Linked DNA regions of Oryctolagus cuniculus. The protein of the gene in region 1 binds, or shares a complex with, the protein of each later gene. Links are inferred from orthologs where the notes say so. Each region holds a gene or a part of one and is shown in the gene's direction. Other genes may lie near its edges.

The links.
Region 2: CIR1 (region 1) and DNTTIP1 share a complex: the UniProt entries of both Homo sapiens proteins name them as parts of the histone deacetylase complex. The link is inferred for Oryctolagus cuniculus from reciprocal best matches to the Homo sapiens genes CIRSR and DNTTIP1.
Region 3: CIR1 (region 1) and SAP30 share a complex: the UniProt entries of both Homo sapiens proteins name them as parts of the histone deacetylase complex. The link is inferred for Oryctolagus cuniculus from reciprocal best matches to the Homo sapiens genes CIRSR and SAP30.
Region 4: CIR1 (region 1) and NKAP share a complex: the UniProt entries of both Homo sapiens proteins name them as parts of the notch corepressor complex. The link is inferred for Oryctolagus cuniculus from reciprocal best matches to the Homo sapiens genes CIRSR and NKAP.
Region 5: CIR1 (region 1) and ZNF541 share a complex: the UniProt entries of both Homo sapiens proteins name them as parts of the histone deacetylase complex. The link is inferred for Oryctolagus cuniculus from reciprocal best matches to the Homo sapiens genes CIRSR and ZNF541.

Annotation. Positions count from the first base shown.
Region 1 is NC_091434.1:66,790,746-66,794,379, forward strand, and holds part of CIR1 (corepressor interacting with RBPJ 1), read left to right. Parts: intron 1-1,625; coding exon 1,626-1,743; intron 1,744-3,634. UniProt on the Homo sapiens protein: May modulate splice site selection during alternative splicing of pre-mRNAs. Regulates transcription and acts as corepressor for RBPJ. Recruits RBPJ to the Sin3-histone deacetylase complex (HDAC). Required for RBPJ-mediated repression of transcription.
Region 2 is NC_091442.1:13,601,564-13,605,870, reverse strand, and holds the start of DNTTIP1 (deoxynucleotidyltransferase terminal-interacting protein 1), read left to right. Parts: upstream 1-1,501; 5' UTR 1,502-1,571; coding exon 1,572-1,676; intron 1,677-2,191; coding exon 2,192-2,262; intron 2,263-2,692; coding exon 2,693-2,789; intron 2,790-4,307. UniProt on the Homo sapiens protein: Increases DNTT terminal deoxynucleotidyltransferase activity (in vitro). Also acts as a transcriptional regulator, binding to the consensus sequence 5'-GNTGCATG-3' following an AT-tract.
Region 3 is NC_091433.1:55,750,228-55,754,312, forward strand, and holds the start of SAP30 (histone deacetylase complex subunit SAP30), read left to right. Parts: upstream 1-1,173; 5' UTR 1,174-1,511; coding exon 1,512-1,826; intron 1,827-3,381; coding exon 3,382-3,507; intron 3,508-3,896; coding exon 3,897-3,995; intron 3,996-4,085. UniProt on the Homo sapiens protein: Involved in the functional recruitment of the Sin3-histone deacetylase complex (HDAC) to a specific subset of N-CoR corepressor complexes. Capable of transcription repression by N-CoR.
Region 4 is NC_091453.1:73,167,849-73,171,980, forward strand, and holds the start of NKAP (NF-kappa-B-activating protein), read left to right. Parts: upstream 1-1,200; 5' UTR 1,201-1,824; coding exon 1,825-2,204; intron 2,205-4,132. UniProt on the Homo sapiens protein: Acts as a transcriptional repressor. Plays a role as a transcriptional corepressor of the Notch-mediated signaling required for T-cell development. Also involved in the TNF and IL-1 induced NF-kappa-B activation.
Region 5 is NC_091449.1:10,111,581-10,115,214, forward strand, and holds part of ZNF541 (zinc finger protein 541), read left to right. Parts: intron 1-87; coding exon 88-146; intron 147-378; coding exon 379-538; intron 539-767; coding exon 768-941; intron 942-1,789; coding exon 1,790-2,111; intron 2,112-3,634. UniProt on the Homo sapiens protein: Transcription regulator which is essential for male fertility and for the completion of meiotic prophase in spermatocytes.

The DNA of each region.
Region 1 (3,634 bases):
AGTCTCCCATATGGATGGCAGGGGCCCAAGCACTGGGACCATCATCCACTGCTTTACCAGGTGCATTAATGTAGCTGGATTGGAAGTGGAACAACTGGGGCTCCAACCAGAGCTCCAGTATGGGGTGCTGGTGTTTCAAGCAGCTGCTTAACCTGCTGCCCTGTCTCTATGGTTTTCAAAAAATTTGGAGACTTAGCTTAAGATCAAGAATAGATTTAAAACTATTACTTGTTTAGAACCAGGACATACTCTAACTGAAAGATCAAATTCTTGTAAAGAAAATTTTATTAGAACATCACCTTATGTAATCTTTTATATATTGTCTATGTCTGCTCTCCTACTGAAATAGCAGAATCAAGTAGTTGCAACAGAGATAACCACCTGGCCTGAAAAGCCTGAAGTGTTTACTATCCAGAAAGAAGCTCCTGGCTCCTGGCTTTGGATTGGTGCTTCTCCAACTGTTGTGGACATTTGGGGAGTGAATCAACAGATGAAAGATCTCTCTCTCTCTCTCTCTCTCTCTCTTTCCCTCTCTGTAACTCTGCCTTTCAAATAAATACATAAATCTTTAAAGAATTTTTTTTTAATTCAAAACTTTAAAGGTTTAATGCATTCAAATTAGGCCATGATTTAATTATTTTTTGGTTTTTTTTTTTTTTTTTTTTTTTTTTTTGACAGGCAGAGTGGACAGTGAGATAGAGAGACAGAGAGAGAAAGGTCTTCCTTTTTGCCGTTGGTTCACCCTCCAATGGCCGCCGCTGCAGCCGGCGCACCGCGCTGATCCGATGGCAGGAGCCAGGAGCCAGGTGCTTTTCCTGGTCTCCCATGGGGTGCAGGGCCCAAGCACCTGGGCCATCCTCCACTGCACTCCCTGGCCATAGCAGAGAGCTGGCCTGGAAGAGGGGCAACCGGGACAGAATCCGGCGCCCTGACCGGGACTAGAACCCGGTGTGCCGGCGCCGCAAGGTGGAGGATTAGCCTATTGAGCCACGGCGCCGGCTATTTTTTGGTATTTTACCATTTCTTTTTGGGTGACTGTTACATTGTCACTAAACAAGAGGCCAAAAGAAAATGAATGTGGCATAGCTTTTGGGCAGAATTTATAGTAAAAGATGTTGGTGTCTGTATTAAATTATGAAACATAGTTATAGTTATACAGTCTCTTCCTCTGGAGGTCTTTTTTTTTTTCCCTCAATTATTTGAGAGGCAGAGAGAGAGAAAGAGAGAAAGAATGTGAGTATGCACACCTATCTGTTAGTTCACTATCCACATGCCCACAGTGGCTGAGGCTGAACCAAGCTGAAGCCAGAATCCAGAAACTCAATCCAGGTCTCCCACATGGTTGGCAGTGACTCAACTACTTATGCCATCACCTGCCGCCTCCCAGGGTCTGTATTAGCAGGAAGCTGGAATTGGGAACTAGAGCGAGGAATCAAACCCAGATACTCCAGTATGCGATGTGAGCATCCCAAATGGTGTCTTTAACTACTTAACCAAATACCTGCACCTGAAAATCTTTTAAAACTGTGAGTCATTTATTTTAAACTTTGCCAAGATATAGAATGTTGAACATTGGTCAAGTTCTTTGTATCTTAGTAAACAAAATTATGTTCACTATTTCTCAGGTTCGAAATGTGAGGTGCATTAAATGTCACAAGTGGGGTCATGTCAACACAGACCGAGAATGTCCTTTGTTCGGTCTTTCTGGAATCAACGCAAGTTCAGTTCCTACTGATGGTTCAGGTAGGCACCAGACATGATTTATTTGTTTTAGGATTTATATCCAGGACAAACAAGGAAAACTTAAATCATATTTTTCTTTAATCTCTCTGGATATTATTTTGTTTTGGTCTTTTGGACTGGGATATATTCTCAAGATATAATGCTCAGTAGGAAACTCTGATCATATGTGTTAAATTGGAAATGCTGTGTAATAAAATTAAGTTTAATTTTCGCAGCCAAAGTTCCTATGAACTTTTTAAAGTATGAGACATTAAAGACAGTTTTTTCATGGTAGTAGCCTAAAATTACAAGAAAGAAATTGTGATTTTTCATATTCATATGATCATGAATTATAAAAACCAGCTGGATGGAAAGCCTCAACTGTCATCTCTAGTTCAGAGATTAAAAACAAAGCTGAGCAAAAAAGGATATTAAATATGTTAAACTGGTTTTTATTTGAACGTTACTATCTTACATGTTACTGGCTACTCAAGAAAAATTGGTCTAATTTGAGTTGAATCATTTTGGTTCTTTTTATAAAAAGATATTAAAATAAGAAGTTTTAATTTGAATTTATCAGTGCCTTGTTAGTGCATTATTGAGACAGCCACACAAATCCAGCCCTAACTCATAGTAGATCATATTAGAAATAACCTGCTTAACACTGTTACTGTAAGCAAGTCATTTCACTTGTATGAACTTCAGCTCCTTGTTTTAAAATAATTGTGATAATACAACAGAGATTTTCAGTATTTTTAAGCTGTAGAACTTTTTTGTTTCAAGAAATCTTAAATGAAACACCAGTATATAGACATGTGAAGACACTCAAGAAAATTTGTGGAAAATTCAACATTAAGTTAATTTGGTGCCAAAAAAAATGAAGTCCACGCATAAGGGGATCTTTAAAAAGTTCATGGAAAATATTGAAAACTGCATAGATTTCAAAAACTTTTTTGCATCAAAATAAAATACCCTTGTAATTTCATTTTAACTTAAGGTTTCTTAAGTGCTCACATATAAAAGCTGAGTTGCTCTGCTGAAGCAGAGCTCTAGGCCTGAAAACCCTTCCTCAGCCCAACAAGTCTCTGATGCATCTCTCTGGACTCCCCATGGCTCCTGCTGCCACCTGCATCCATGCCCAGGGTTTACTCTCAATCTGTATCATCTTCCAGTGTCCTGTAACCAGAGATCTTGCTTCCTGGCAGCAAGCCAGACTCAGGCCACAGGTCTCAAGATGCCAGTTCTCATATTAGGAGTTTAGGAATTGGATCCATTATTAAGTTTGACATCATGTGTTTAATGGGATTTATGGGAGAGAACCAGAATTGCTGGAAGAAGTATAAAGAGTATAAAATTATTTTTTTAAACATCCTTATTTTGCTAAAATAAGAAAACACCTTTTAAGTAGAAGGAAAACTGTTTGCTCAGTGATGAGACAACACTAGTACAGCCTTTGGTCTAGCAGGCTCTGATAAAAGAACATCCTGTTAATAACACATGACAGGTGCTCCCAGAAACCACATACACAATGCTCCCTCCTTGCCTACCCTTCTCCAGCTGGTGGAAAAAGGAGTAAAGGCCCCAAAGGAAATGGAATGGGGCAAATCATATAGCAAGAACCCCTTGGCTCAAATATTTATGACCACTTATTCCATTAATCAGAGATCTGTTACCTCTGAAAAGTATGTTGTTTTCTGGAAGTGATGTACATTTTTCATCTTCTCCTTCGTTGCAATCTTGCGATTTCTGTTCAACTGCAAAACTCATGGGACCAGGAAGAGTGATGGCTGCCCTTGTTCCCTGGCTTCATGGTACTCTGATTCCACTTCTCTGGGAATGAATAGGGTAGAATGTGGACTTAGTCCTTTGCTTTCTTTTTTTTTTTTTTTTTTTTTTTTTTTTTTTTTTTTTT
Region 2 (4,307 bases), on another chromosome or scaffold:
GAGAGCCAGATGGAACTCCAGGCTCCTGGCTTCAGCCTGGCCCAGCCAGGACCGTTGCGGCTACTTGAAGAGCAAACTAGCAGATGGAAGATTCATTCTCTCTCTCTCTCTCTCTAACTCTGCCTTTCAAATAAATCTTTTCTAAAAAAATCACTTAAAAACTATGAAAAATCAGTATTTGGGTGTTTTCAATACAAAATGCACCAATACAAATGCACCAAAAACCTGTGTCTGGGTCTCTGTATCCCACATAGGCCGGGATAGGTAGGAAGGCTGGCCGGCAGAGTCCGAGAGAGCAGACTCCGTGACTCCAACAGTGTGGTCGGTCCACAGACGCCCCTTTTATCTCTTCTTCCTCTGTCTCTGTCCATTTTCCTTTGTCCTGCTCTTCCCTCTGTCCGCTGGCACTGCTTAGCCCTGGGAACTGACAGAGCGGCAGACACCAGGCACAAGGCACAAACCTCCTTGACAGTGCCAGGAAGTTTGCCTCCGAGTTAGCAGCTGGTGTCAGAGCGCGGCGGTAAGTGCCACATGTTGATCACCTAATACTCGAATTGCTGCACACATACATATATCTACTGAAGAGCCAAAGTGGCTCCATTTAAAAACGTAAATAAAAAGCAGCCTCTGTTTCCCGTAGCAGACCCGAGTCCTTTGTAAAAGCAGGCATTCAGGCATTCTGGAGACATCAAAGCTTACCAAGGACAGCTCAGCAGACCAAGGGCAGCTCAGTAGAGAGTGCCAAATGAGGTAACTCCCTGCACCCAAGCCAAACAGAGACACGCCCCTCCGACTAAGAGCAACCGGGAACTGCCCTGCCCAATCACAAAAGGCCCGGCACCCTGACGTATCTTCCCTTTAAAAGCGTCCCGAACAAAGACCTGGGCCTTCCTCTGACCTCCGCTGGTCAGATAAGGCCCCTGCCGGGCTTGTACTTTTAAAATAAACCTTGCTTTTGCAGGTCGGTGTGATGGGGTCGCTGATAGCTTCTTGGGGATCTACTTATCTGAGCACAACATCTATGATCTACTTCAATCCTCACTATACTCTTGCAAAACCGATTCCGAGGGGCTGAGAAAAAAATGGCCAAAGGCGGTGTATGGCCGCTAGAATTTCCTACGGGAACGACAGATGGCACCGTTTGGGGGTTTACCCGTGCCAGACTTTGGCGGGCTTAACATGAATCAACTCACTTAATTCTCACCGCGACGCTATAAACTAGGTGCTATTAACCCCATCTTACGGCCGGGGAAACTGAGGCCCGCGAATCCCACAGCTCCTAAGAGGGAGGAACAAAGGCAGGCGATCCAATTCCACAGCCAATGCCCTAACCACCATATCATAACGGATTTCAACCCATTTCTTGTTAACCGCAAAGACTCGCGCACTTGGTGCTACCCCATGGTGCGACCGGAGACTGAGGCGAGAGACGGCGGCGCGGTTCCCCTGGCAACGCCGCGGCGCTCCGCGGCGAGCTTCCGGGCCGGCGAGCGGCGCGCTCCAGTGACGTCACAGAGCCACTTTCCGGCCGGTGGCAGAGTCGGGCAGAAGTTGTGGTGGCCGGGGGCGCCATGGGGGCCACTGGCGACGCCGAGCAGCCGCGGGGACCCAGCGGGACAGAGCGGGGCGGCCCGGAGCCGGGGGATGCGAGCGCAGCTGGGCAGCTGGTTCTCACGGTGAGGACGCCCCCGCTGAGGCCTGAGCTCGGGCCGGCGGGGGCCTCGGGCTCCCGGGACCCTGGCCCGCGGGCGAGAGAACGCGGCGGCTGGTGCTGCCCGAGGGGGTTGGCGTTTTCGCAGTCCCACGACCTGGGTTCAAATTCTGGTGCCGCCCTCCCGGCGAGGTGACGTGGGCCGGTCCTGGCACCCCCCTCTAGGCTGCTCTAACATAAAATGGAGAGGAATGGTGCCTGTCCCTTCGAAGTTGTCGGGGTGGGGTGACAGATGCAGGTAAAGCTCCCGGCACCCGAGTTGCCTTGAGCCGTTCCAGGAAAGGCGGACCTGGGACGTTTGGGACAGGAAACTTCCTCAGGCCCTCTTCCCGGGCAGGGCCTGTCCACCCGGTGGGAGACTTGGAGAGAGCAGCCGAGGTGCAGCGGGGTCCAGGCTAATCCTCGCACGCACCTCCCCCTCCACGCCGCGTCAGTGTCACCGGCTTCAGTGACGTTTGCTCCCTCGCTTGGTCCCCGCAGAACCCTTGGAACATTATGATAAAGCACCGTCAAGTGCAGCGAAGGGGCCGCCGCTCTCAGATGACAACAAGGTAAGGCCGGCCCTGGCTGGAACCGGTCCCAGGGCTGGCTTGGACCGATGCTGTGGGACCCCCACCGCACAAGCCTGAGAAGAGATCTGCAGTCGGGGGAAGGAGGCGCTGTGGGCGCTGTGGCCGTGACCTTGAGCTGAACTCTTCTGCAAAGTGGGGGGGTGGGGGGAACGGCACCCGAAATCCCTAACATTCCCTGGCTCCGGGGTGGAGGGCGCCAAAGAGGTCGCAGAGCCTCGAGGTTGGCATCCCAGGCCCCGAGTCGGACAACCCGACCTGTATTAGCTGGGTGACTTGGACAGGCCGCCTTGCCTCCCTGAGCCTGTTTGTTCAGCGGTCCCAGGGAGCTAGGAGCAGTGTCTGTGTCAGGGAAGGGAGATGGTGCCGCCCCCTGAGCCCCCTGACCGCCTCCCTCCCTCCCTCCCGGCAGTTTCACAGACCCGGCCATCTCCATGGATCTCCTCCGGGCTGTCTTGCAGCCGAGCATCAATGAGGAGATCCAGACGGTCTTCAACAAGTACATGAAGGTGAGGAGACAGGAGGGTGCGAAACTGACAGGGAGAGTCCTGGGCAGCCTCGCCCTTCCCTGCCGCACTGGTGTCTCTCTGTCTCTGTGTCTCTCTCTATGTCTCCCTCGCCCTCACCCTGTGCCCCTAGAATGCTTTTTTTGCCTTTTTTTTTTTTTTTTTTTTTTTGCTTAAGTGTAATATGCTTAGCACCATGTTTGGAAAATAACCACTGTTTTTATTACTTGATATTAACATCGTTATCATTTAAAATTATTTCCTTGGCCACTACATAGCTCTGCCTGAGTGTCCCATGGGTGCTTCAAACTTAGCACATTCAGAACTAAACTCTTTCTTTCGAAGCCTCCTCTTCTGTGTAGTCATGTATTCAAGAAGCATTTACCGAGCGGCCGCCGTGCTGCACGTGCCGTCCTCGGCATTAGCACTGTAGCTGTAAGAAAGCAGACACTGTGCTCGCCCTTTGTAAACAAGTGTGTGTGTGTGACACGAGGGAATGAGAGAAGAGGGGTTGGGAAGGCCCTCCGAGAGGGGGCTTTGTGTGAAGACCCAGAGAGCGTGAGGGAAGAGCAAGCCTGGCAAATGTGTGGGAGGTAAGAGTCCGGCCACAGGGAGGAAGGAACTGGCCGGTGTGACTGCAGCCCGCTGTGCAAGGAGAGTGACTGGTGACCAGAGAGGCGCCCCTCCTGCTGGGAAATCCAGATCCCTTCCCTTGGCGTATGTGGCCACTGTGATGAAATAGCCACCTTTCCCCACGTGGGTCCCCATGCCCTGGGCATGTCCCACACCCCCACACCTTTACAGACCTAGAAATGTAAAAGGGAAGCCACGAGAGAAGGGTAGGCCATACTTCACTGCAGGCCGCTTCCCTGTGGTGGATTTGCTGATTCAGTGTTTCTCTCCTGCACAAACGCTGGGTAAACACAGTCTGTGGCCATGAGCTCCTTCTGATAGCGTCTGTGAAGATGCCTTCTTACCACACTCATTTTTCTTTAAAGATTTTATTTATTTGAGAGGTAAGTTACAGACAGTGAGAGGGAAGGACAGAGAGAGAGGTCTTCCTTCCGCTGGTTCACTCCCCAAATGGTGTCAACGGCCGGAGCTACACCAATCCGAAGCCAGGAGTTTTTACCGGGTCTCCCACGCAGGTGCAGGGCCCAAGCACTTGGGCCATCCTCCACTGCTTTCCCAGGCCACAGCAGAGAGCCGGATTGGAAGTGGAGCAACCAGGTCTAGAACCGGCGCCGATATGGGATGCCGGCATTTCAGGCCAGGGCTTTAACCCACTGCACCACAGCGCCAGCCCCCACCACACTCATTTTTCAACAAGTTGCAAATGAATTGATTGCATCACAGCTTCAGATAAGTTAACACTCTTTAAAAATGTATGTATGTATGTATGTATGTATATTCATTTGAAAAATAGAGTGACAGAGCTCTTCCATCCATTGGTTCACTCTCCAGATGTCCACAACAGCCAAGTCTGGGCCAGGCCAAAGCCAGGAGCCAAGAACACTATCC
Region 3 (4,085 bases), on another chromosome or scaffold:
AAGCTCCTGGCTCCAGCCCAGTCCCTCCCTTATGGCCATTTGGGGAGTGAACCAGCAGATGGAACATCTCTGGCTGTCTCTGCCTCTCTTAATCTCTCTGTAACTTTGCCTTTCAACAACAACAACAAAAATTTTAAAAAGACTATTAAACCGGTGCGCTGTTACCAGTTAATGCGCAGCTTTTATATTAGCCACGCCCTTCCTCCAAACCCGCCCTCCACCAGCACGCTCCCACATGCAAGCATACACACGTACGCGCGCACATGCACGTACACACACGCGCGCTCACAGGAGCCTGTTGCAACACACACGGCCGTGCAGTCCGCTCGGAGAATGCGGCTTTTCTCCACACTGGGCAGAGCTACCCCTGGGGAGTTTCCGAGGAGCAATCCAAATGACTTAGGAACGCTGCAGTCCGCGCCCCTCTAGACGCCTCTTTCCTTCAGAGGCATCCGAGGAGAAACTGACAAGGTTGGGAATGGAGGGAAAAAGTAGTCCAGTTACTGTCAACTAGCCAGTGATTCTACCCCAGGAAGCGACCTGCTTTTTGCACCTAAGAATGAAACACTGAAGGAACGAACAAGGATTTAGAAAAGGCATTTTTGAGTAGGATCTGTCACTGTCAAGAAGTAGGCATTTCCTTCCTAGCAGTCGTCCCGTTAATTTGCTGCAAGAAAGAGGTGTTTAGGCAAGCAGAGGTGTTAGCTGCAGGACCTCAAAGACCTGGAAAGCGCCAGCTGACTGAATTCTCCTTGGTTTGGTTTCCCTCAAAAGCATAGTTCACCAAAAACGGTTTTACCACACACGCAGAACGGCCCCGAAACTTTTTTTTTTTTTTTTTTGCACGCTCACTTACTCCCCCACCCGCCTTTATGCTTCCCCTCAGAGTCGGCTGACTTCCTCTGAACACCAACCCCGCGAAATTCCAGGAGCTAAACACCACCCAACTTCCAGGGAGACACAGGAGACTAGAATAAACAGCGTAATCCACAACCACACACTCCTGTTTTCCCTGTGCTTTGGAAAAAAAATCGGCCCGCTGTGGCGCGATGCATGCTGGGATGTGTAGTTCATCCAGTTTACTGGACGCCAGATTAGGGCGAAACTCAGGACGACTTCGCAGTAGGGAACTACAATTCCCGTGGTAACTCGCGGCAGAGTGGAAGGGGCGGAAGGGGGGGGGTGCGTCGTGCTTGCGCAGGTCCAGGGGCCGAAGGGAGGCGGAGGCGCCGCGGTCCAAGTGTTGAAGTCTCCATGTGACAGTAATCGGGGTCCCAGGTCCCTGTGCTGCCCCACTCTTGAGTCTTAACCCCCAGCACTGTCCACTCTCCGGCGCCAACGGTAATCGCCAGGCTGGGGACATTGCGTGTTTGGCCGGGCCATCGCCGAACTTGGGGTGCAGAGTGAATTGCCGCCGCCGGATCGTGTGCCCGAGGGACCTGGCGGAGAGAGGCGGAGCGGCGAGACTAGCGGGGATTTCTGTCGGCGCCGGCGCCTCGGAGCGCGGAGACATGAACGGCTTCACGCCTGAGGAGATGAGCCGCGGTGGGGACGCAGCCGCCGCGGTGGCCGCCGTGGTCGCTGCAGCGGCCGCCGCCGCCTCGGCTGGAAATGGGAACGGGGCGAGCGCTGGGGCTGAGGTGCCAGGAGGCGGCGCGGTCTCCGCGGCTGGGCCCCCGGGAGCCGCTGGCCCGGGCCCCGGGCAACTCTGCTGTTTGCGGGAGGACGGTGAGCGGTGCGGCCGGGCGGCAGGCAACGCCAGCTTCAGCAAGAGGATCCAGAAGAGCATCTCCCAGAAGAAGGTGAAGATCGAGCTGGATAAGAGCGTAAGTGACGGCGGGACCGCCCCTGTGGGGCTCCAGCAGCTGGGCAAAGACACGGGTTGTTGGCAAGGTTCAGCCCCCACCCCCACCCCCACCCCCACCCCCGACCTGGCTGCAGTGCGGACTTGCGAAGTCTTAGCTCGGGAGCAAACAACAAAGTCACTGCAACTCCGACCGCCACCCCCAACACGCAAAAACACACGCTGCGGTGCCCCTCCTCCTCCTCCTCTCCCCACCCCCCGACCTCCCGCTGCATGCGTCTCTCCCGCGCAGTCCTCCCTCTTCCTCCTCTGCTGCAATCGGGAATCGAAACAAAGGGGCAGGTCGCACGGAGCACCCGGAGTAGTTTTCTTGCAGCCCGGCAACCCCTTCTTGGAATGGAGGAGCCTTTGTTGTGCTGCCCGAGCTGGCGTGTGGCCCCAGGGTGAAGTAGCTGCCCTACTCTGGGGAAAGTGGAGTCCAATCGGACCTTACACCCAGGAAGGTCCTTGGTCCGGAACACAGAGCGAGATCCCCCCACCCTGCCGCCTCGCGCGGCGCAGGGGCTGTACACCGTGTTTGCAGTGTCAGCTGCTCCGCAGCTACTCTGAACGTGGGAGCACGTAGCCTCTGCGGTCTTGCCATTCGCTTGGCAGCCATCAGGATTCCGTTTTCTGTTCTTTTGACCGACTGGGAGGGTTTTAGAAACACCCATTGCTACTTTTCGGAGTTCTGGCTGGCAATCAATGAATACCAAGCTGTCAGAACCTAGCGCGCGTCCTGCATGTTTTTAACTGAGGCTTAGCTTGAAAATTGTCAAGCCTGTTAGCTCAGCCCTTTTTTTTTTTTTTAAGGAATTAGCTGTCAAAATATGAAGCCCAGTATTTCCGTGTCGCTATACAATTCTCATGAAAATATGTAATTAAAGCTTTTGAAAAGTTTATTGTGACATTTTCTGCCTGTTTTAAACAGCTCTTTAGTGGTATTCGTGAGAAACTTTTCAGGTGAATTTGAATAATTTCAGATTACTTTGTATCACATACAAATACATTGATTTAATACTTAGAAAAATTTATAATTGAAATTTAAATATAGGATAAAAATTAATAGCTAGTTTGGAAAATGTTGTGCCTGTAATATGATTTGGGTAGTAAATTAGATTGGAAAGCATGCATGGTACTACTTAAGTTTGCTCTTTAAGCGGAAAATACTATCAGGTAACAGAATTGTGGTCAACATCATCTTCTCCCTTGCCAGTTAAAAATCCAGCCTGAAATAACTAATTCAGGTCAACCTTTGCAATTTGATGACAAAACCCAGAGGACTGGAATTTCTCATTCTCCTTTTTCTGCCTCTGTCCCTCCCCCAAGTGGCACTACACTCTTCCTCCTCCCACTCCGCTCTGTATTGCCAGACATCTGGTTTAACAAGGCCTAGGATTTAAGACTAGAAACATACTCTTGTCTTACCAATGGCTTGTTTTGACTGTTTTCAATAATTCCCTGTGGCCTATGTGTGTATTAATGCACAGAAACATTTTACTGTAAAATAAGCAGTCTGTGAACTCTTTCTGTTTCAGGCAAGGCATCTTTACATTTGTGATTATCATAAAAATTTAATTCAGAGTGTTCGAAACAGAAGAAAGAGAAAAGGCAGTGATGATGATGGAGGTGATTCACCTGTTCAAGATATTGACACGCCAGAGGTAGATGAAAATTTTTGTATGTTTAATGTAACTCCTAAGTAGTTCATTCTGAAATTTTTATAAAAACATTTGAGGAAATTTTTTAAACATTTAAAACATTTGAGAAATCTGGAAATGAAAGCAAAGTTAAATATACCCAGTTAATAAAAGTTATACAGTTTGAATTATTATATTTTCAGTTGACAACTATTAGAATTTTATTCATATATATAATATATAATACCACCACCAGTTTATAGTATTTATCCCAGAAAGATTAAAGTGTTTATATATAAACCATGGAGTTAAGTTTGTATTGTGCTGAAGTTGAAATTTTGTTCTTGAACCTATCAGTGGTAAATTTTAAAAAAACAGTATGGACTAATTCATATGTGTAAATTTTTTTCTAGGTTGATTTATACCAATTACAAGTAAATACGCTTAGGAGATACAAAAGACACTTCAAGCTACCAACCAGACCAGGACTTAATAAAGCACAGCTTGTTGAGGTATATATGAGTTTTATGTTATTTAAACTTTAAATTAGCTGGTTTGATTTTTTGAATCTTCTGCTGGAATAGGTCTGCATATAAGTTCCT
Region 4 (4,132 bases), on another chromosome or scaffold:
CGTCTCCCTGCTAATGCACCTGAGAAGACAGTGGAAAATGGCCCAAGTACTTAAGCCCCTGTGACCCACTTGGAAGACCCAGATGGAATTCTGGGCTCCTTCAGCCTGGACAGGCCTCAGCCACTGCAGTCATCTGGGAAGTGAACCAGCATATGGAAGATTCTTTCTTTCTTTCTTTCTTTCTTTCTTTCTTTCTTTCTTTCTTTCTTTCTCTCTCTCTCTCTCTCTCTCTCTCTTTCTCTCTTTCTCTCTTTCTCTCTTTCTCTCTTTCTCTCTTTCTCTCTTTTTCTTTCTTTCTTTCTTTCTCTCTCTCTCTCTTTCTCTCTCTCTTTCCCTTCCTTCCCTTCCCTTCCTTTCCTTTCCTTTTCCTGCCTTCTTTCCTTCCTTTCCTTACTTCCTCCCTCCCTTCCTTCTCTCTCTCTCTCTCTCTCTCTCTCTCTCTCTCTCTCTGTCACTCTGCCCTTGAAAAAAAAAATAAATCTTTAAAGCAGAAGAAGAAACAGGAAAAGAAATAAAGAGAGGAAGGGTGGGAGGAAGGAAGGAAGGAGCCCATACCCTGGGCTGCTGGTGTGGTACAGCAAATTATGCTGCCGGTTGCAACAGCAGCATCCCATATCGCAGTGCCTCTTTCAATCCAGCTCCCTGCAAATGTGCCTGGAAAAGCTGCCAAAGGACTGGCTGGGGCCATTTGAGAAGTGAACCAGCAGATAGAAGACCTCCATATCTCTCTCACATTCGCTCTCACTCTTGCTCTACCTTTCAAATAAGTAAATAAATATTTTAAAAGCAGCAGCAGCAGCCAGCATCCCATATCAGAATGCCAGAATTCCTGACTTCAGCTCCTAATTCCAGCTTCCAGCCAATGCAGACCCTTGAGGCAACAGGTGATGTCTCAAGTAATTGGGTCCCTGCCACCCACGTGTGACACCTGTATTGGTTCCTGGTTTCAGCTTGGCCCAATCCTGGCTGTTGCATGCATTTGAGGAGTGAATTGGTGGATAGGAACTCTGTCTCTCTTTCTGTCTCTACCTCCCAAATTTAAAAACAGTAGAAAATGAACAGAAATACTGATCATAAACCACATATTGCTAGGCTAGCAGATGACTAGTTTAAGGGGCTGGATAAAGAGAGGGTTACATATTCCTTTTGCTGAAGCACACGGGTGGAGATAGTTACTGTAAGAAAAGTATGCAATTTTTCTCTGGGCTGCAAACTTATTTGGAGTGTATCAGGCTCAAGACGTTAACACAGACTTTGTGCCTTCTATGCTACCTGGGCAATACGGAGCTTAGATATCATAGCTCACCCCAATCGCGATAAACTTTCCTAATTTTTCTTGGGATTAGGAAAAAAAACCAAATTATATGCAATATATATTCTCAATCATACATAAATGCATAATTATACACAGAAGGCACACGAAACACATACAGAATTGGATGTGTTGTTCATACGACCACTCTGTGAAATGTATCTTATATTCCGCCATCCTTCTCTTCAGGTACCACAAAGTTCGAAGCTGAGAAAGGACTTTATCTCCTCTCCCCGTTAGTTTAGCTTTGAGAAGCCACTCGGAACTAGAGGAGAGCGTAGACCCAGTTGCCCTACCGGCTTGTTTATACCGATACACACGTCCGTTCAAGTCTGCAGAACCGCCTACGTCCGGGGAAGGGGTTTACCGACGTACTCGAAACGATTCCCAAGGTTCCCCTCAGGTTTGGGTGGTTGTAAGGTGGCGGGATCTGAAAGCCAAGGCAACCGGGATCTTCCTAGACTGGTGAGAGCGCCCCCTTCTTCAGCGACTTCTGGGATCCTGCAGCAGCAATGGCTCGGGTATCCGGCTCACGGAGCCCGGAAACTTCGGGCTCCGGGGGAAAACGTCGCAGTTCGTCGAAGAGCCCCAAGCCCAGCAAATCTGCTCGGTCCCCGCGGGGCCGCCGCTCTCGCTCGCACTCTTGCTCTCGATCCGGGGAACGGAATGGCCTCAGTCACCATGTAGGTGGCCTCAGTCACAGCTCAAGAAACCAGTCCTACCGCTCCCGCTCGCGGTCACGTTCTCGAGAGCGGCCCTCTGCGCCTCGGAGCACACCTTTCGCTTCTGTCTCCTCGTCCACCTATTATGGCGGCTACTCGCGCCCCTATGGGAGCGACAAGCCGTGGCCTAGCCTCCTGGACAAGGAGAGGGAGGAAAGCCTGCGGCAGAAGTGAGTGACCCCCCTCCCCCACTTTTCCTTTTACGAACCCACCTCCCTTTGGAGTCCGATTTATCATTCATTCCTCTTGTGGCCGTTTGTGTTCGCTCATACTTGCCTTGTATCCGTTTTCACCCCGTTATCCAGTCCACCCATGGCGACCCTTTTATACGTCCTTTTATTCCCTTACATTTTCATTCATTATACATTGCCATGGTTTCGTGCTACCCTCTTCCCTCTTCGGGGTTGTTAGCAAACGCGGTCAAGAGCCTCACATCTACCAGATTTATAGCATTTACTTGGTTGTGCCATTATCATTTGAGAGCCCTTTTATTGATTATAGAATTCCCAGTGCCTAGCACTTTGCAAACATGCAACCATTGCTTATTGAAGAAATAGGCTTGATTTAACAGAACACGTAAGTGGTAATGTTTTGTGGGGAATTGGGAAGGTTGAAATCAAGGGTTTAAATTGGAGAGAAGGAAAATCTTCCCCTCAGACAAGGCGATGAATGTAGGAAAAGTGACCTGCTAGGCTGTAGATGAGGCTACCTTGAGAAAGGACTTGCAGAGTGGTCTCGATCTTGTTTGATCATGAAAAATGATATTGGGGTGAGATCAAATTTCTAGTAAGAGTGAGTATGGAGTGGAAAAATGCATGGTTTAAGGGGAAAGGAAAAGGTTTATAATTATTGCTGTGGAAGCCTTTGTCTCTAATGTTTATTAAAGGTTAGATTTATGTATCCAGTACTGTGCTGAGGACTAGACATGCTGTATGTGTCAGAAAATGAGAAATGTAAAAGTATTTCAGGCATTGAGGAGCAAGTTAAAGTTTCAGCAGTTGAGAGGTGTCTTTGTGATTCTTTTGCTAACTGCAGTTTCATCCAGGAATCAGACTGTCTGAAATTGATGTGCTTATTTGGTATTTAACAACAGTGTGAACTTGAGCGAGTTGCTTAACCTCTCTGAGTTTTACTTCTTCACTATTAAAAAAAAGATAAAATTAGTATGAAGGATTTTAGGGTTGTAATAATTTAGTGTTTGGAACATAATAAATACTCCACAAGTGTTAGATGTTAGTTCAGCATGCATGGAAGAAGAAACAGTGAAAACAGTCCTGAGTTAGGTTACTTCCAAGTTAAATTTTTCAGAAAAGTACCCAGAGGCTTTATCAATCAAAAAGCAAATGGTTTCTTAGTGGAAAATCTCCACCAAAATATGTCAGAACTACTTGAATGAAATTTGCATTTGTACATTTAAGGAGATAAGTAATTTATCTTAACAGTACAGATGAAGCCAGGTGACAGCAGGTATGAGAACAGGACTCCAAGCACTGTAGAATTTGGCTGATACTCTTCTCCCTATATGTAAATATTCCAAGTATGTCCCCTTTTAGATTGTATGTTTCTTAAAGTGGGAAATGCTGAGTCTGACTCTGCATAATGATGATATAATTTCCCCCTGAAGAAATAATATAATTTATTCAAACAAACCAGCTATATTTATTTTGTAAGGATGTTTAAAAAGAAATCAAATCACAAACAGCCAAACTTTTAGGAAGTGGGCCTTTTTTTTTTAACTTTAAGAGTAATAGCAAAAATTAAAACAAACCACATTATAAAACAAAAGAAGAAAATTTTAATGTCCTCCAAAGAATAGAGAATGTACTACTTTTCCAAAAAGAAACTAAAGGGAAAACAGAGAGAGAACAAACCCTGTGTCTCACTGAGTACAAGTTTTGTCAAATAAGACTTTTTTTCATTTTTAGAACTTTTGTTTTCTGCTTTTATCAATTCCTGGGCTTCTGAAAGCTGAAGATTTGAGCAAATCAAGAGACTCCTCTTTACTTTCATAAACATCTGAACAAATGAAGTTATTTCCAAATGTAAAACTCTGTCACAAATTGCAGACAATAAAATGAATAATGAATAGTTATATCAT
Region 5 (3,634 bases), on another chromosome or scaffold:
CCTCTGATGTCCTCCAGGCGCGTGGCTTTGGCTCTCCCTGAGCTCTGCACTCCCATGGCACTGCCTCAGGTATGTTTTCCTCTACAGGGTGGGAACGTCTACAGGATACCCCATCCCTCGAGGGACGAGCACGCAGCAGGCACATGGTACGTGCTGCGGCCCCACCCACCCGCCTGAGGTGCCCATGCCGCAGGCACCCTCTGTGGCTCTGGTGCCGGCCCTGGGGGAGCGAGCGGGGTGCCTCCGTGCTGAAGAGGACGCTCCAGGCAGAAGAATCTGGGCAAAGCCTGCATCTGTTAGAGGTGGTCCAGACTCCCAGAGCACCCTGACGGGGGGCGAGCCCCACCCTCCCATCCTCCCCTCTGCCTGTCTTCCCAGCAGCCACCAAAACGGGGGCCCTGGCGAGTGGACAGAGCCAAGGAGCACGTACGTCTGCAAGAACTGCAGCCAGATGTTCTATACGGAGAAGGGGCTCAACAGCCACATGTGTTTCCACAGCGACCAGTGGCCGTCCCCGCGGGGCAAGCAGGAGCAGCAGGTGAGGCTGGGGGCTCTGTCCTGGGGGGGGGGTGCAGGGGCTCAGGGTCAGGGCTGGACTGCTCTCTGGGGCTGGCTGTGGCTGTGGCTGTGGGGTGGCAGCAGCTGCCCAGCCCTGTCTTTGGCCTGTTCTCCACGGAGAGGCCTCCAGGGCTTCCCCTGTATCCTGGGCAGCTCCTCTTGTCCCTGCCTGCCATTTCCTTAAGGAGCCCCCTCTTCTCCGGGTTCAGGTGTTTGGCACAGAGTTTTGCAAGCCACCAAGACAGGCTCTGAGGCCAGATGGGGACGGACAGACTCCCCTGCGAGCCAAGAAGCCCTTGGACAGCACGGCTGTAGCCTCTGTGGTGATCCCCATGCCGGTGCCTGTGGCTCTGGGGAGCCGAGCCCTGGGGAGCCTGGCCAAGGTGGGGGCTCACCCCTGCTGCCTTTCTGCCACCCTTCCCAGCTTTTGGCGGAAGCCTTGGGAAAAACCCAAACCCCACACCCCAGAAAGTCCTGACACTGAAGAATTCGGGTTGCACATTCGCTCAGTCATTCCATGTTCACTGAGCCCTCTGTGCTGGGCCTGTGCTGGGGCAGCTGGGGACATAGCACTAACCGGGACAGCCTGGCTCCCAGTCCCAGACCTGTCCCAAACAGTGACAGTCCAGAGTGGGCAGGGCTGGTGGAAGAGGATTTCTGGGGGAGCTCCGAGGGGCTCCTGATCCAGCCTGAGGAGATCAGGGAGGGCTTCCTGGAGGCGGAGCTGTCAGAGCTGAGTCCTGGGGGATGAAGAGGAATAAGGCCAACAGGGGTGGAGATCTGGTGATCAGTGATCACGCTGTGGGGCCTCTCTCAACTGTACGAGGACCCCATGGGACACTTGTGTTGCACTCGTGCTGGGTGTTTGGGCCCAAAGATGCCCTGGTCCCGCGGGAGCTGCTTTTGCCACTTGGTCCCCTGGCCCACGCCCCCCGGCCCCACTGGGTAAGTGCTGGCCACCAGAGCCCACACCGTCCTCCCACGCTTCCAAGATCCCCAGCCTCGGGCCTCCTGGGGCTTCAGCCGTGGAACGTCCCCGCACCTGGTGTCTCGGGTCTGGCTTGGGTGTGGCAGCGGGGCAGAGCTGCCCAAGGCCCTGCTCGGCCCTGTTTGCTGAGGGCTCCGGGCGTGGCCACATCCTCTTTCCCTCCGTCCCCTTTTCCGGCCTGTTTGCTGACCTGAAGACCGACTGCTGTAGTGAATGCCTGTGGTCCCCAACTCCCTTCTCCAGGGACAAGAGAAAGACGAGGAAGAAAGGGACGGCAAGGAGGGCGGCCAGCACAGGAAGCGGAAGAAGCGCCCCCAGTCCAAGGCGCTGCTCATCCCTCCCCAGCCCTCAGCCTTCAGGGCGCCGAGCCCTGGGGGCCACCAGAGCTGCCTGCGCTCTCCGGTGTTCCTGGTGGACCGCCTCCTGCAGGGCCTGTTCCAGTGCTCCCCCTACACGCCGCCTCCCATGCTCAGCCCCATCCGGGAGGGCTCCGGGCTCTACTTCAACACGCTCTGCTCCACGTGCCCCCAGGCTGGGCCCAGCCAGCTCAGCAGCTCCGTGCTGGGTGAGTAGGGCTGGGCTGCTCCCTCTCGTGCTGCCCAGGCCCCTCTGCCCTGGACCGCTGCCGTGCGTCTTTGTAGCATCTGGTCCGGTGGCTCTCTCTGGCTGTGGGGTGCTTGGCCTGAGGGTCCCACTGCTGCCCGGAAGTACCCCAGAGCCATCTGGGACCAGTAGCCCTGGGTGCTTGGAATTGTATAGCTGGAAAGAAAACAGAGACCGTTTACCCTGACCATCTTTCTGCCTGCTCATCTCAACATCATTACTGAGATCCAACACATACACGTCAGCCATGTCGCGTGTGACATGTGGCGGGGATCTGGCACAGTGGTTGAGATCCCAGCGGGGACACCTGCATCCCACATCAGAGCACCCGGGCTCCAGGCCTGGATCTGCTGATTCCAGCTTCCTGCTGCTGCTCCCAGGAGGGGGCGGTGATGGCTGGGGCACCCGGATGAGGTTCCCAGCTCCTAACTCTGGCCTGGCCCAGTTCTGGCTCTTTCTGGCACTTGGGGAATAGACATCTCTGTCTCTCTCTCTCTCTCTCCCTTTCCTTACCACTCAAATAAAATGAATAAAAAATCCCATTTTTGAGGATATCTACAAGCGTGTGCCCCTCCCCATACAGTCTGATTGTAGAGCATTGTCATATCCTGGAGGAAGCCTGAACCCTCTAGAAGTCACCCCTGCCCCGTATCCCAGCAGTCCGGGCCCCAGGCAGCCTTGCGTCTGTGTTGCTTCTGTGGGTTGGCCGGAACTCGAGTTGTACAGCGTGCGGCCTTCCACGTCCGATCATTTCACTTAGCACAGTGTTTCCAGGGTTCGCCTCTGTGGTGGCAGGTGCCAGAGTTCGTTCCGCCGCAGGGACGGACCACGTCTGGTCTGTCTGCTCTTGCGTTGCGAGGCGGAGAGCCTTGTTTCCACATGGCGGCGGTGACGGAGAAGCTGGGAAGAGCCTTCCTGCACAGGCGTCTGCTGTGGATGTGGGCTTCCTCCGAGTCACGTGACCACTGTCTGCGTCACCGCTTCCCCGACACTGGCAGCATCCGCGCCCCACCAGCCACGTGTGAGGGTCTTGGTTTCCCCACCCCCTGGCCGATACTTGTCGCTGCCTGGCTTTTTGCTGTAATCAGCTTAGCAGGTGTAAAGTAGTATTTCATTGTGGTTTTGATTTGCACTTCCCTGACAGCCAGCGATGTTGGGCTCCTTTCCACTGTGTGTATGTTCTTAGAAGTGTCTGGACCCTGCCCTGTTTCTTAACATGGAGCGACCGTCTCTTTATCACTGAGTTCCAGGAGTTCCTTATGTTCTGGATGCAAGCCCCTTCCCAGATCCCTCTCCCATCCTGTGGGCTGCCTTTTCATCTTGTTGATGCTATCACTGTGGTCCAAAAGTTTTAGATTTTGATATATTTTTCCTTTTGTCACTTGTGCTTTTGGTGTTAAATGTTCAGATTTTTCCTGAAATGTAATTCACAAACAGTTACTCCAAGGTTTTCTTCTAAGAGTTTTATGACTGACTCTGTCGTTT